2 linked regions of the Arabidopsis thaliana genome follow. The protein of the gene in region 2 binds, or shares a complex with, the protein of the main gene of each other region. Links are inferred from orthologs where the notes say so. Each region holds a gene or a part of one and is shown on either strand. Other genes may lie near its edges.

Region 1 (5,426 bases), on a different chromosome or scaffold from region 2:
TAGATACCTCCCTAGATACCCACGTCGTTTATTTTACAATTGAATAAATTGAATTAAAAAAGACCTAAAGTTAGAGATTTATCAATCGGTAATGTTGCTCCAATACCTAACCACAGGGCCGCCGCGGTGCCAATCAAAAAGACGGTTGTCGCTACTGGACGACGAAATGGATTTTGAAACTTATTAACATTTTCCAAAAAGGGTACGGTTAATAATCCCGCTGGTACTGAAACCATTAAAAGAACACCCAATAATTTGTTAGGCACTGTACGAAGTATTTGAAATACAGGAAAGAAATACCATTCAGGTAATATTTCCAAAGGAGTTGCAAAAGGATCCGCAGGTTCACCAATCATTGATGGTTCTAAAACCGCTAAGCCTACGTTACAGGCAATGGTACCAAGAATAACTACTGGAAAAATATATAAAAGGTCGTTGGGCCATGCGGGTTCCCCGTAATAATTGTGACCCATACCTTTAGCTAATTTAGCTCGTAATACAGGATCATTCAAATCTGGTTTTTTTGTTATTGGGATAGGTGAATTCTTATGGATCCATCCCCCGAGGGAACCGGACATGATAATTTTTTATCATCCGGCTCGAGCAAGAATTAACCAAACTAAATGAATACATACAAAAAATATAATTTAATATGTAAAAATTAATTATCCGATTCCAAAGTTATTGCAACTAAAGATTCAAGAAATTCCATTCTTACAGGTAAATGCTCAACACCCACGTAAGCTTAAAAAGTTTATCATGATTAAGTGCTTTCTGGGTCGTCTCATACCTTATAAATTCGTCCTTAATCTCAACAATTATATCGAGATTTTTCAAATACAAAGGATTTACTTGTTACTAATGGAGTCTACCCTCTACTCTTCATTAGATCCTGTATTCACTCCGATAGTATCATAAATCGAGTCGATGCAGAGAAAATGAATGCATTTACATACTATTACTATTAATAATTATTTTCTTTTTTTTTTTTAGTCCAAAATAACTAAAAACATAATCAGGATTTTGTTCCATCCCTTAATCTACTGGATTTTACGGAGCCCACTCATCCACGACAGCGTCGGGTACGATCATAGAAAAGATTCTCTTCAAGTGAACCAGCCTATCCCCTGTATGGGGCTTACACAGTGGTTGGAACAAAGACACATTTGGTTGTGAATTCCAATGTAGCAGATAAAGTAATATTTCTGCACGGCCCGATCAATAGTTCAAGTCACACACTCCCATAATCCATTATCTCTTCATAGAATTCCCTTCAACTTTTTATGTCAAAAAAATAATAAAATATTGTGGAGTTGAAGGGAAATATCCAAATACATGTTTTATTTTTTTAATAATCCATATTTATAGCAATAAAATACTATCGTTCCTTCACCAAGTAATAAGTAAGTACAAATACCTAGAATCTATATTATTTATAAGGGACCAGAAATACCTTGCTTACGTATCATTAGGAAATGCATTAACATAAAGACGGCCGTAAGAAGAGGTAATACAAAAGTGTGTAAACTATAAAAACGAGTCAAAGTGGATTGTCCAACACTAGCACTTCCGCGTAATAATTCTACAAGAGGTGATCCTATTACCGGAATAGCGTCAGGTACACCTGTTACAATTTTGACCGCCCAATAACCAATTTGATCCCAAGGTAAAGAATAACCTGTTACACCAAAAGATGCGGTCAATACACCCAGAACCACACCAGTAACCCAAGTTAATTCGCGAGGTTTTTTAAAACCACCGGTGAGGTATACACGAAATACGTGCAGGATCATCATTAGGACCATCATACTTGCCGACCATCGATGAACTGATCGGATTAACCAACCAAAGTTAGCTTCAGTCATTATATATTGAACAGAAGCAAAAGCTTCAGTAACGGTTGGACGGTAATAAAAAGTCATAGCAAATCCCGTAGCTACTTGTACTAAAAAACAAGTAAGGGTAATTCCGCCTAGACAATAAAATATGTTGACATGCGGAGGAACATATTTACTAGTTATATCATCTGCAATCGCCTGAATCTCAAGACGTTCTTCGAACCAATCATAAACTTTATTGAGATAGGTAAACCAAGGTTACTCCCCCTCCAAGAACTGTATATGAGAATTTCATCTCGTACAGCTCAAACAAAAAAAGACCCAAATACTGATTGAAACAGATATGGAATATAAAGTTTTAAACTTGTCTCTCATTCAATATTATTTTTTATTATTTAAAGATATGAAAGAGTCAAAATGCGAAAGCTCGTCTTTGTGGTTAAATGCCAAAAAATCAAGTAAGCTCATTCGTCTTTATGTTGTGTTGATCGTTACAGGCCTCTTGAATCTTCTAGATTACCTATCTTTATTGTCTTTTTTTATTTGGTATTTGTATGGAACGGGGACAGGGATTTCTTCTTGTTTTCTTTATTATTGATAGGAATTCTCTTGTTAAGACCCTACTTAACTAATCAATTGAAACCTCAGATTCATACGAGAACCACGATAATTTAATGAAACCTTCAAAGTCCAAAGTTCACTGAGTGAGAACCATTGGATCATCACTTATTCAATAAAAAAAAAGCTATAATGACTAAAAACATAAAATACAAAGAAGCGTTTGTCCTTTGATCCAAATAAGAGTTTAAAAGCAGAAAATTTTTTTGATTTATTAAAGTTTATAAGATAGAACGGAAAGAAGTCCGGCTACGAGGTTTGAGTATTTAAGTATGAATCATAGTTCGAATACTTTGTGATCTATTTGATCTATTTCGTGCTCCAGATACTCGAATGAATATCCGACGAAGTAAAACCATCTTGATAAAGATGACAGACCCCATTCTCTGTACTATCCATAGGGTCAATTCTAACAAGTCACACACTCATATTCCGGAAATATACAATGCAGAAAAAAATTTCGCGGTCGAACTACCAAAGGAGAATAGGCTAAAATTGTTAGACCTGCATACTTTACTTTTTTGTATCGAGCTAAAAGCTAGAACTTCAAGATTCTTCTCAGTCTAATTCACTGAAATTCCATCCAGTAGAACAGAAGAATTATAAATCTCCAAAATAATAGATAGGAATACCGCAAATAGAGCCATTGCAACACCCATCAAAGGGGTCGTTCCCCATCCGGGAGCTACTTTACCATATTCGGAATTCAATGGTTTCAATAACTTCCCTACAGTAGTGCTTCTTGGACCAGATCTAGAACTATCTTCAACAGTTTGTGTAGCCATAAATCTTATTTTGTATTCATTACGATCTGTTGACTTTGTATACCATTCCGTTGTAAATAAATGATCTTAGCATAGATCCGGTGTGGTCTTTCAATTCTATAATAATGGAAACAGCAACCCTAGTCGCCATCTTTATATCTGGGTTACTTGTAAGTTTTACTGGGTATGCTCTATATACTGCCTTTGGGCAACCCTCTCAACAACTAAGAGATCCATTCGAGGAACACGGGGACTAGTTAACGTAATCAGCCTCCAAATATTTGGAGGCTGATTACGTTAATGAAGATAATGAAAAATTATTTCATTTTTTAGTTGAAATTTTAGGTGGTTCCCGAAAAAAAATAGCGAAAAAAATTATCCCTAAAGTGGATACTAAGAGAAATGTATAAACCAATGCTTCCATAAATTTGATCGTGGTTTACAATTATAGCTTTCATACCTGTTTTGTTTACGTTTTGTTTACTTGGGAGGATAAAGAAAGAAAAAGAGTCAAAGAAACGGCAGCGATTTAAATAAAGATTCCTACAGTACCCTACCTATTAAATAAAATAACAAACAGAAACTAGAAGAAAAAAAGCAATGTTGCATCAGACTGCTTGTCGTTTTGTAGTTGGATCTCCAAGTTTTTGGAATGCCCCGAATTCCACTTGAGCATCCAAATCTGGATCAATACCAGCAAAAACATCTCTGAAGAGGGTTCTAGCACCATGCCAAATGTGTCCAAAGAAGAAAAGTAGAGCAAACGAAGCATGTCCAAACGTAAACCAACCTCTTGGGCTGCTACGAAAAACACCATCAGATTTCAAAGTCGCACGATCTAATTCAAAAATCTCACCCAATTGAGCCCGTCTAGCATATTTTTTCACAGTTGCGGGATCACTATAACTCACTCCATTGAGTTCACCACCATAAAACTCAACAGTTACACCTACTTGTTCGACACTATATTTTGATTCTGCCCTTCTAAACGGGACGTCAGCTCTAACAATTCCGTCTCCGTCTACCAAAACTACCGGAAAAGTTTCAAAAAAAGTAGGCATGCGGCGTACAAAAAGTTCACGCCCTTCTTTATTTCTAAAGACGGGGTGGCCTAACCATCCAACAGCTATTCCATCCCCATTGTCCATTGAACCCGCTCGGAATAACCCCCCTTTTGCTGGATTATTACCAATATAATCATAAAAAGCTAATTTTTCAGGAATTTTCGCCCAAGCTTCTGATAAACTTTGATTTTCAGCCAGTCCAGCACTAACTCTTCGATATATTTCTTGTTGAAAGTATCCCTGATCCCATTGATAACGAGTAGGACCAAATAATTCGATGGGAGTAGTTGCAGAACCATACCACATAGTTCCAGCAACAACAAAAGCTGCAAAAAAGACAGCAGCAATACTACTGGAAAGGACGGTTTCAATATTGCCCATACGTAATCCTTTGTATAGACGTTGAGGCGGACGAACACTAAGATGGAATAGGCCCGCTAATATACCCAACGTCCCTGCTGCAATATGATGAGAGGCTATTCCTCCCGGAACAAAAGGGTCAAAACCCTCCACGCCCCACGCCGGGTTTACGGGTTGTACCTTTCCGGTTAGTCCATAAGGGTCGGATACCCATATTCCAGGACCATATAATCCTGTTACATGAAATGCGCCAAAACCGAAGCAAGCCACTCCTGAAAGAAATAAATGAATTCCAAAAATCTTGGGCAAATCCAAAGAAGGTTTTCCTGTACGTTCATCACAAAAAATTTCTAGATCCCAATATACCCAATGCCAAATAGCTGCCAAGAAGCACAAACCAGAAAACACTATATGTGCTCCGGCTACCCCTTCGTAACTCCAAAGACCCGGATTCGTTATAGTCCCCCCTGTAATATTCCAACCGCCCCAAGAATTGGTTATTCCTAAACGAGTCATGAAAGGTATAACGAACATACCTTGTCTCCACATTGGATCAAGAACGGGGTCGGAGGGATCAAAAACTGCTAATTCATATAGAGCCATCGAACCAGCCCAACCAGCAACTAGAGCAGTATGCATTATATGAACAGCAAGTAAACGACCGGGATCATTCAATACAACAGTATGAACACGATACCAAGGCAAACCCATGGAAATACCCCTTTATCAACGAAAAATAGACACTATGTAACTTTATTGCATTGGAAAAAACTATGCTACGT
Region 2 (11,636 bases):
TGTTTTATCATAGAAAAACTTATATATAGACAAGTCTTTGATTACTGCTAAATTTTTGTGAGGTGATCCGACAAAACTGTCATTAGATTTGTTTGGCTAGATTTATTTCTTTTCTATTCTAAACTTATAATTAATTACTTTGTTTTCGAAAGTCCCTAAAGTTTCGAATGTTGATCAATAAAAGAAAACATAGTAACCAGAAAATAGGACCACGATTAAGAGTGAAGCATATGGTGGATGGAGCTAACAATCTATTTTTCTTTTTCATACCAACTACCACACATTAATCATATACTTTTCTTGAATTAGGTCTAGAGCAATAAAGTCAGTTATTTAATTAGTATTTACTTGAATAAATGAATCTTGATTCTTGACCGTTTCGATAATCATGGTCTTTTCATTTTTATCATTTTGTGCAGATTGATTGTACCATGTTTATTTCTGTTTCTAACCAACATTCAGAAACATTTTTATTCGTAAGAAGAAGATGCAAGAAATGGGTTACAAGGTTGGAGGTAGAGGGAGACTCGGAGATTGTGGTGGGGTTCCTTAAGTCGGGAATCACAAACTCACATCCATTCTCTTTCTTAATACGTTTGTGCTATGACTTTTTGTCGCGTGGCTGGATAGTCCGCGTTTTTTCACGTGCATAGAGAAACTAACCGCCTAACGGATGTGTTAACTAACTATGCTTTTTCTCTTCCCTTAGATTTTTATTTGTTCGAGGGTAGACCGGATGTGGTTGTCTCTATTGTCTTTGATGATGCGAACGGGTCTGCATACCCACATAATGTTCGTATTTGATTTAGTTTTAATTTTTTTAATTAATAAAATGTGGGGACATTGTCCCCCAACCCTACCAAAAAAAAGAAAGAAGATGCAAGAAATTTGGAAAGAAAAGAAAAGAGTATGATTGAGTGATTTGTCTTTTAGGCCGATTTTGGGCCTCTTTCGGCCCAATAAACTCTATATTAATTCTTCCAATTATATGTCCACGTGTCCTCTTGCACCATTCGGTTCCGTACGCCGTGTCACACTTGATTACTCAGCTTTGCCGATGAGATAATTAACCGTCCTCCGTTGTATCGACGGTCGAATTTTAATATCTTTGATCCAACGGTCACAATTCGAAGTCGTATTTCCCAGCAAACATCGTCTTCATTGAAAATTAGACAGATCGATATAAATGTGTTACCTTTGATTTCCCCAATTTCTAGGGTTTCGAAATAATGACTACTACATTCGAATTTCTGCAACCAAGAATCCACGGATTTGCAACTTGTTGTAGTAGTAATAGTCTATTGTACTCGAAAGCTTCGAGATTTTTCAACGATCGTTGTAGGGTTTATCGCCAAAATCCGAATCGGTTTGTCTCCAATTCAATCACGCTTCCTCTGCAGAAGAAACAAGTTACAGTGTTGAGAAATCACGAAAGGTTTAATCTTTGGGATGGGTTTTCAAGAAAGAAGAGTAGATTAGTTGTGAATTGTCAAGAAGATGATCAGAACGAGAGTTCTAGTGAGGAGGAAGAAAGCAGTCAGAGTACTCCGGCGAAGTCGGAGAGGAAAAGAGAGAAGAAAGAAGATAAGGTGTGGTGGTCAAAGGGCAAGAAATGGCAGTGGCAGCCAATAATCCAAGCGCAAGGGATTGGAGTTTTGTTGTTGCAATTGAGTGTTGTTATGTTTGTGATGCGATTGCTTCGACCTGGTATACCTTTACCTGGATCGGAGCCTCGAATTCAGACGACTTTTGTGAGTGTACCGTATAGTGAGTTCTTAAGTAAAGTTAACAGTAACCAGGTGCAGAAAGTGGAGGTTGATGGGGTTCAAGTTTTGTTTAAGTTAAGAGATGATGGGAAGTGGCAAGAGAGTGAAACTAGTAGGTTGTCTCAGTCGTCTGAATCGTTGTTAAGAACTGTGGCTCCTACGAAAAGGGTTGTGTATTCCACTACTAGGCCGGGTGATATCAAAACACCGTATGAGAAGATGCTTGGGAATAATGTGGAATTTGGATCGCCTGAGAAGCGTTCTGGTGGCTTCTTCAACTCTGCATTGGTATAGTTTCATTTTTACTATTTGTCCTACTCCTTGATGATGATGCTTTATAGTTTTGCAATGAATGGTGATTGTGCTATAAAATAGGTTGGGTCTTTTCAAAAGTTTCTATTTTTGTTTGTTGCAGATAGCTCTTTTCTACATAGCGGTACTTGCTGGGCTTATTCGATTCCCTGTTAGCTTCTCCACGGTTTGCATCTCTACTATACTTTAATGTGGTTGTTTAAAATTTTGAATTTCCTAAAAGAACTATGGGTGTACACAGAGTTCAACCGGCCAGCTTAGGACCCGAAAGGCTGGTGGTCCTGATGGGGGAAAAGTCTCTGGTGGAGGTGAAACAATCACTTTTGCGGATGTTGCAGGTGTTGATGAAGCAAAGGAAGAGCTAGAAGAAATCGTGGTAGGTTTTTCAGTCCTTAAAGACGCTGCACATGCTTATTGATGATCAGATTGTTTTTCATAGCTTTATTCTCGGTTTGGTAATTGTCTTTTACACATCGGTTAATCAATGCAGGAATTTCTTAGGAATCCTGAAAAGTATGTCCGTCTAGGTGCACGTCCTCCGCGTGGTGTCCTATTGGTGAGTTTTATCATTTGATTTCACTTTATTCTTATATTACGTATATATCATGGTTTAACGTTTGGTTACAAGAGCTCTCCTTTAGAATGATATGCCTTTGACTCCTTTCTTTTCCAGGTTGGTCTTCCCGGAACAGGGAAAACCCTTCTTGCAAAGGCTGTTGCTGGGGAAGCTGAAGTCCCCTTCATAAGTTGCTCTGCAAGTGAGTTTGTAGAGCTGTATGTCGGTATGGGTGCCTCACGTGTAAGGGATCTTTTTGCACGGGCCAAGAAGGAAGCTCCATCGATTATATTTATTGATGAGGTTAGAATAGGTAGTCGATGTCAGATTACCTCCGGTATATTAAACCTCTGGGCATCTTAAACAAGATTTTCTATTTGCCTCTCATGCTCCAGATAGATGCTGTGGCAAAAAGCCGTGATGGTAAATTCCGAATGGGGAGCAACGATGAAAGGGAGCAAACTTTAAATCAGTTGCTCACTGTAAGTCTGCTGTCAAGCACCTTTCCTGTGTAAGTAGCATTCTTGATCTTTCCATGACCCATTCACATGTTGGAAACTTTTCTGCAGGAGATGGATGGTTTTGACAGCAATTCTGCGGTTATCGTTCTTGGAGCTACAAATCGTGCCGATGTCTTAGATCCGGCCCTGCGTCGTCCTGGGAGATTTGATCGTGTTGTTACGGTTGGTAGAATGGATCAGCTCTGCCTATTTGTAAATGTTTAATATGGTTTTTTCAAAGGCACTGATGCATTTTTCAGGTGGAAACGCCAGACAAAATTGGAAGAGAATCCATTTTGAGAGTACATGTGTCAAAGAAAGAGCTTCCTTTGGGAGATGATGTCAACCTCGGTAGTATTGCCTCAATGACCACTGGTTTCACGGGGTACGCTTTTGTATATTATCAATGATTTGAAGTTTATTCAGTTATACGTTTTTGGGTGTATATCTCATAAACTCTTTTGTCCTATTTGCAGGGCAGATCTTGCAAACTTGGTAAATGAGGCTGCCTTGCTAGCTGGAAGAAAGAACAAGACGAACGTTGAGAAAATTGACTTCATTCAAGCTGTGGAGCGATCAATAGCGGTATCTCTATAACCTCGCTGTTTTATTGATTACGTAAGGCAATTGTCAAAATGTGTTTTCTTACAAAGACCTGTTTCAGGGCATAGAGAAGAAATCTGCAAGATTAAAAGGCAATGAGAAGGCAGTGGTCGCAAGGCATGAAGCTGGGCATGCAGTGGTTGGTACCGCTGTTGCAAATCTTCTTACTGGACAGCCACGTGTTGAGGTAAAATGCAAAAACTTTGTCTACATTTACGCTCATTGTTTATGTTGTTTAGTACGTGCAAATGATTCAAGTTTTGCTCATCTTTGTGGTGTTGTCAGAAATTAAGCATATTGCCAAGAACAGGAGGGGCATTGGGATTTACATACATTCCTCCTACTAGTGAAGACAGATATTTACTCTTCATTGATGAGCTGCTTGGGCGTTTAGTTACCCTTCTTGGAGGTCGTGCAGCTGAAGAAGTTGTTTACTCAGGGCGTATATCAACAGGTGCATTTGATGATATAAGGCGGGCAACTGATATGGCATACAAGGCAGTAGCTGAATACGGTCTTAACCAAAAAATCGGACCTGTGTCTGTGGCTACACTTTCTGGTGGTGGGATTGACGATTCTGGAGGCTCGCCATGGGGAAGAGATCAGGTAACTTCATGTTGCAATGCACTTGCCTAGGTTGTCTTATAATTTCCAATTGTCCATGCAAAAGTTAACCTTCCATGTTAATACACAGGGGAAACTAGTTGATCTTGTTCAAAAAGAAGTGACAATTTTGTTACAATCTGCTCTCGATGTTGCGCTGTCTGTTGTACGCGCTAATCCAGATGTATTGGAAGGGCTTGGTGCTCAACTTGAAGGTGTAGTATAAGTTTATTTGTTTTCATCAGAACAGTTTTTGAAAACATGTAGGACACTAAAGGATATAACTGCTTGCGAGAAAGATTATATCCCTTGTCTTGAGTTTGGTTCATGTGACAACTGGCTGATTTTGCTGATGAAATATCATGTTTTGGTGCAGAGAAAGAGAAAGTAGAAGGTGAAGAACTGCAGAAGTGGTTAAGCATGGTGGTTGCACCAGAAGAACTCGCAGTCTTTGTCGAAGGAAAGCAAGAGCTTTTGCTCCCAGCACAAGCTAGCTCCAGTTAACAACTACTCTGTTCTATCATCAATTATAGCTATAAAGACAGTATCTAACACGGATCATCAGCTCTTTCCTTGCTGCCTTCTGTATCTCCAGGTCAGATCTGGTTATCACCATTGCCCTTTAGCATCCATGGTTCCAGCATGCATAGAACACTTGAATCAAACTTGAAGAACCATATTGGGATATGACTTTTGGTGATAACTCATAGATTTTGGTGGATGTGTTTTAAGATTTGGTATTCTTGCTAGATACAGTCTCTTTAACTTGGCAAAAAAGTGTATAATTGATTCATATGTATAAAAAGCCAGACTGATATGTGTAAAGATCTTAAAGACCCCCACAAAAGGTTGCAACAGCATCACTCATTGTACTCCAGAAAAAGTTGCATTAGCATTACTCATATTAGTCTATTATTCTCAGATTTCTCGAAGTAGTGGAGTTAATCTTGAAAATGTTCAGAAAAATAAATAACTAGATCATGTGATGTCAAATAAGATTAAGAAAGAGTAGCTTATATATAAGTGAAATCCGAAGAATTATAGAGAATGAAAACAGAGGCATGAATAATGCAAATTACTATACATTTTTTTCTTCTATTTCTTGAAGAGGCTTCCTAAGCCACCAAATCCACCCTCGCTCTTCTTCGGCACAGGCGTCGGAGCTGAGTTTTTACCACCGCGAACGGTTCCTCGGCCTCCGGTGGTGGTGCCTTCTTTCTCATCCACCTTCTTTAGAAGTGGATTAGTCTCATAGAACTGATCTTGTTTTGTCATAAACCCAAGAACAAAGTCGATGGGATTCTTCTCCTCCTTTGGGCCGCCTGAACCTCCCTTTGTGCTTGTGGCGTAAACCCTCACGGTGGCCGGAGCAAATGACATAAGAAGCGAAGAAACCATTGTTGTTATCTCTCTCTCTTCTCTGGTTTTTCTTTATCGGTAGTGTGTGTATGTGTGTCTTCGTGTGGCATTTGTTACGAAGGGATTATAACGAGGTTGGTTGAATCTGAGCCGTTGGATTTTTTTGGCACAAGCTCTCCACAAGTGTCTTATCCTCTTTCTTTTTTCCCTTCACACATTTTTCTTTGAATCACTTGGATACATTTTTTTTGGTTTAATTGTTTTTAGATATATCTTGGCACAATTTATGTATATTCTTCTCAAGTTCTTAAACGGAAATTTGCACAGAGAGTCAAAGTCTTCAATTTCAGATTTATAATTTATTTGTCAAATGAAATGTATGAATGCGGAAGAGACACGACTTGATTTTTTTTAAGTGTGTGATCTTGTCCCTGACCATGTTGGTTGTTAGCTGCTGCAACTTGAGACTCTGATCAAAACTAAAAACCTTTTTTCTGTTATTGGGCCGACGAGGCCCATTTCTTTAAAAGGAACTGTGACAAGATGGGATATAAAGCTCTAGAGTAGACTCCTACGAGTAGCGCCACAACACTGATGAACGAAGCTCGAAGAAAGTTACAAGATAAATTCCATTAAACGATTCAAATATGCGCACTTATTATTTCACCAAAAGCAATGCTCAGTGTTTATTATTCGTGTAATAGTGTTGGATCTACACATGTTCTTATTCGATGGAATCTGCGACCGTATATACTACTGAGTGAAAAATTAGGCAAAAGCAAAAAGAAAAAAGAACCAAAGAGAAGCAATGTTTCATCAGCCGCAATGGTTCACTCAAAAACACTACTTACACTTTTCCTCTTGCTTCTATCGTGTACCTAAGTTCCGTGTCGCTGTCTCTTCACTCCAAACAAACCAACATCCATTCACTGCCATTCGCTCCTTCTCAAACCATTTCCTGAGTAGAATCTTCTAAAGGGAAACACGTCTCTTCACCACCGGTATTCCAGAGGAAATTGGCGTAGTTGGCGGCGTAGAAGGAGTTGGTAGGGTCTGCAGATATAGCTTCTAGAAAGTTCTCCTCAGCAGCCCAGAGATCATTCCGAACTTTCCACAGGAAGATGGCGTATTTGCTGTACGTTTCTGCGTCTACATCTTCTGACTCTATTGCTTTCTTGAAGCAGTTCTCCGCTCTAATACATAACCAAAAGCAAACATCATTTGTCAAGTTCCAGAGTTACATAGAATCATAACCAATCTTTTGATACTCAATGTGTCAAGTGCAAGCATATACTTCTCAAAGTACAGGTAATAAAGTCTTGAATGTTAGATGCAAGAATAGGTTAAAAGGATATCTCACCTCTCATGGTCTTGAGTAACGAGGTAAAGGAACTGAGCGTAGTTAGCTAGGAGCAGATGATTGTCAGGCTCTTGAGCCAAACCTATCTTATATAAAAGCTCAGTTCTAGTGTAATTGGCATAATCATCCAATTCAATCCTTGCAGTGATCGGTGAAACAAGTCTCAATCTCATGTCACGATCAACAGAGGAATCTTGCATTTGATCTGCTTCTTCCACCATCGAATTCCACAGACTCACCTCCTCTTCTCTCATCCCTTCTCCTGAAACCGAGTCTCGATGTCTCGGCAAGTGGGAAACCTTGTCAAAATTGATCGATCCTAACCATTTGGACCCATCAAGCTTCGTAGACTCCTTTAACGAAGAAAAATCAATCCTTTGTTGCGTCTGATCCGGACCTTTATTAACAACTGGAGGAGATGCTGCAATAGGTAGGTTTGATGCAACTGAATGCACAGTGTAGTTCGCCAAAAGGATCATCACATAAACCATCAAAGTAGGTGTCTGAGAGAACACACGTTGGAAAATCCACAACAATGAAGCGTGCATTTCCTTCTTAACCTGCTTAAGAACACCCACTCTAGTCTGCAACGCAAAGCTATGAAGCTCCTCAATCATGAAAACCATAGAAGAAAAAGCTCTATTGATAGAACAGTAAGTAGTAGCACTAGCTTTCTTAAGAGCTTCTTCTTGTAACTTCCTCTTTATTATCCTAAGTGATAGAGGTAAATCAACACTGTTTGCTTTACGCTCAATACTTGAATGGTTAACCATCTCTGCCCATGGAGCTTCCAAAGAAGCTAAACCTGGAACAGACTCTTGTAATAGCTTCAAAGAACCAAATCTATGATTATTGCTATCGTTATCGTTATCTACTGCTTCTGATTTCTGTTTGTTCTCTTCTTCTTCTTCATCGCCTGCGTTTCTGAATTGTGAAGCTAATTCCTGCATTTTCACAGAGAATGCTTCGTCGGAGGAGAAGAAACCGGAGCTCGCACTACAAACTCTTCTCAAAGGATTATGTTTCTTCTTCACATCAGTTCTAATCTTCTTCGTGGTGGAATTAGAAAATTGCCAAAGCTCACATGATTTAGATCGGTGAAGTTTCCCAGATTGTGTTCCGAGAAACGTCGAAGGTTTTAATCTCAAAGATCCTCCTCCGACGGAAACATCACCGGCTATTCCACGAGAACGACGGCGTTTAGATGAAGTTAGGGTTTGCGAAAATGACGGACATTGAGGAATCGCTGTGTGTCGTCCTGACCAATGAAACGACGTCGTTGTTGCTACTTTCACTTCCATTATTCCGATGAAACGCAAACAAATCTCAGAATCTGTATAAATCGAGAAAAGCTATAAAGATTAAGACAAAATTGATTACGAGAAATTGAAAGATAAGAGAGAATGAGAATGAGAAAGAGAGAGAGCTTACTTCTTCTTGGTGATTCGAAATTCGTTCGTTGAGAGAGAGATTTTCTCGGGAGAATTTTTTGTATGGTTGTCAGGTCAAATCGAATTCAGAGGCTTACGAGAGCTCCTGAACTTTGTTAGAAACAGAGAAGAAGAAGAAGAAGAAGACAAAAGCCCTTGTATGTTTATATACCAAGAGAGAAAAATTAGTAAATTATTTAATTAATTTACCGGATATAGGCGGTGAAAAGGCGCGTGCTATTTTAGAGAAGAGATTGGTTTTATTTATTTATTCCACGGGTAGAGACGGTTACAGGTGATGAATGATAAGGATTCGGCTAAACTAAGCGACGCGGTTTATTCGGGAAAATTTTGCTTTCATCGCGGCTTCATCGATCTTGATCTGACGGATGAGAATGAATCACGTGTTGGTTGATATAGCTTCGGTTTGATCTATTGCCACGTAGGGGGTTGAAGAATATGGAGATGGGTTCACGGACCTAACGAGGACACAAACTTGGGTTTTCTCGATATTGAGTGTTATGAAATTTGTATTTTCTCGATTTATTCCTGAAAACGAAAGTATGAAAAGAAAATAGCTTGTTTTAGAGTAGATTATCTCATTCTCTAATAAGATTTGTTTTAACAAAAATTAGAATCAGATTTTTAGAAAAAGCTTTAAAATCTTGATATAGATATACGTTCAAGAAAATGGATTATCTTTACCAAATACAGAGATAAGTCTATATGCATGATGCACTGTTTAGTGCAATTTTATGGCATAACCATACAATTACATATAATGAAAGACAACAACATTAAACAGTACTTGGGGCCTTGACAAAACTAAATGGGCTTTATATCTTATCACGAATATGGACCCATCGACCATTGGACCCAAGTCTTTGGATTTAAAGAGTCTCTGTATTTGGCTTTACATGACTTCCCAGCCAAGAAACTGCAAACTGTAGTCTAGTTTCCAAAACCTAACAGCAGGAAACAAGAAGCATCAAAACAGTAACGAAAAGACAAGGATAGAGATCCAAGAATTGTCTGGTTTAGGGTTTATTGAGGAGCCCAATTATGCGTTTTAGATTTGCAGCAACGAGAAAGAGAAACGAGGGTTTAGGGTTTAAGACAATGATGGAAATAAGAGAGCATAAACAGAGGAAAAAAACAAACCACAGATTACGAAAGACAGTATGATATTATATAGGCCTCAAAGTAAGGCTTTTAAGTGGATGGCAAAGTTTGTAGAGAAAACCATAAACACTTCAACGTCTGGCTGTTCTCCGGGTTTTAAAGAATCTCTCTCTGATTGAGATTAACTCCTTGGCTGCTTCACTCGTTGCCAACCGGTTCAGCGGAGATTCTTCACAACATCTAAGTCCCACATCCAAAATCCCTTTCAAGCACTCAAGTACAGGGAAACCAACTCTGAGACCACTATGAAGAATCGATTTGTCTGCAATGTCCAAAACTCTTTCTGGCAAGGCCGCCTTGGTGTAGCTGTTCAGGGTAAAGTTTCCTCCAAATAACTCATTGGTTGGTCTTTTTCCAGTGAACATTTCCAAAACGAGAACCCCAAAGCTATATACATCACCGTGTATTGACGGTTGTCCTCCCATTCCATATTCTGCACCATAATTCACACACACAAAAACGACAACAAGATTGTAATGAAAAAAGGAACACATAAATATTCTTCATTTAAACGTTCCATATGTGTAATAGTTTTACCTGGTGCGGCATACCCAATGGTTCCTCTAACACCAGCTGAGCTTAGTTGGTTGAAGAAAGACTCCTGGTCGAATTTGAGGAGAAGACGAGCGAGACCGAAGTCGCTAACATGGGCAGTTAGATCATCGTCGAGAAGTATGTTGCTTGGCTTAAGATCGCAATGAGCTATAGGCTCATGACAGTGAACATGAAGATAGTCCAAAACAGAAGCCACGTCTATGGCAATGTTAAGCCTTTCAAGAAGTGTCAAAGTTCTTGAGGGCCTATGAATCTCTTCGACTTCCTCTGGGTGCAGCCATTTATCCAAACTTCCATTCGGCATGAACTCATAGATGAGAGCTCTGAATTCGTTACCTTGGAAATCAATACTAGCGCAAGCTGTCAATAGTTTCACGAGATTACGATGCCTTATATCCTTCAAAGATTCACATTCTGCCATAAAGCTCTTCATAGCTCCACGTCTCTGCATGTTTAGAACTTTCACTGCAACAATCTTGTTCTCCGTCTGGAGCAATGCCTTAAACACAGTACCAAAACTACCTGACCCAACTATATTGCTCGAAGAGAAGCCATCTGTCGCATTTCGTAGATCTCCATAACTTAGCTTTTCATGGAAAATCTCCAATGTAAAAGGAGCTGAATTATTGATCTTCTGGTTGTTCTTTCTTTTTTTGAACCAGCTTAGAGAAACTATGAACAATAGCAAAAGCAAAGCTATGCCTACGCTGACCCCAATCGCAACTTTCTTCAAAAGAGATGGATGCCTTGTCTCCACTGGTGGTGCTTGGGCAATGCATGGCTTTAGTTTCAGTTCCTTGATGCTTCCACAAAGATTTTTGTTTCCGAATACTGAAACTAAAGTAGCATTTTGAAATATTCCTTCTGTTGGGACTCTTCCCTCGAAATTGTTATCGGATAGATTGAGATATTCCAACTTGGAAAAGTTTTCAAAATATTCAGATATACTTCCAGAGAGATTATTGTTTGACAAATCAACGTTTTTAACACCCATCAACCCTTTTATATCTGGAATGGTTCCATCAAAATGGTTTTCTTGTAGATAAATAACTTCCATCGAAAGACATTTTCCCAAAGTTTGTGGGAGATGTCCTGATAAGTTATTATTCCCAAGTAATAGCTCAACAAGATTTTGTAATCTTCCAATATCGTTTGGTAGAGAGCCACTCAAAGAATTAGATTCCATGTTGAGGTGAACAAGGGTTGGGATTTGCATGATCTCCTTAGGTATAGTCCCATTTAACTTATTATACCCAATCTGTAAGTCGAGCATGTGACTACAATCACCAAGACTCGGAGGAACGATTCCTTCAAAACTATTGTTGGATAAATATAGTTTTACTAACTGAGTAAGGTTGCCTATAAAAGAGGGTATCTCTCCAGAAAACCTATTTGAAAACAAAATTAATT

The links.
Region 1: the proteins of AT3G47070 (region 2) and petB are in contact, whole or in part, in a cryo-EM structure (PDB 9ES7), measured with the Spinacia oleracea proteins. The link is inferred for Arabidopsis thaliana from one-to-one orthologs. Residues at the interface, in XP_056683494.1 of Spinacia oleracea: Lys44, Asp46, Gln47, Phe48, Tyr49, Glu50, Leu55; in NP_054964.1 of Spinacia oleracea: Pro28, His29, Pro214, Leu215.

The regions. Positions count from the first base shown.
Region 1 is NC_000932.1:72,300-77,725, reverse strand, and holds petB (cytochrome b6), read right to left. Parts: upstream 2,886-5,426; coding exon 2,880-2,885; intron 2,076-2,879; coding exon 1,434-2,075; downstream 1-1,433. Other genes in the region: petD (cytochrome b6/f complex subunit IV), read right to left, coding at 54-528, 1,238-1,245; psbH (photosystem II protein H), read right to left, coding at 3,020-3,241; psbN (photosystem II protein N), read left to right, coding at 3,346-3,477; psbT (photosystem II protein T), read right to left, coding at 3,543-3,644; psbB (photosystem II 47 kDa protein), read right to left, coding at 3,829-5,355. UniProt on the Arabidopsis thaliana protein: Component of the cytochrome b6-f complex, which mediates electron transfer between photosystem II (PSII) and photosystem I (PSI), cyclic electron flow around PSI, and state transitions.
Region 2 is NC_003074.8:17,331,770-17,343,405, forward strand, and holds AT3G47070 (thylakoid soluble phosphoprotein), read right to left. Parts: upstream 5,965-11,636; 5' UTR 5,739-5,964; coding exon 5,436-5,738; 3' UTR 4,845-5,435; downstream 1-4,844. Other genes in the region: ftsh7 (FTSH protease 7), read left to right, coding at 1,230-2,054, 2,182-2,244, 2,320-2,454, 2,569-2,634, 2,752-2,937, 3,030-3,116, 3,204-3,317, 3,395-3,519 and 5 more; AT3G47080 (Tetratricopeptide repeat (TPR)-like superfamily protein), read right to left, coding at 6,646-6,892, 7,060-8,360; AT3G47090 (Leucine-rich repeat protein kinase family protein), read right to left, coding at 9,743-10,104, 10,209-11,636.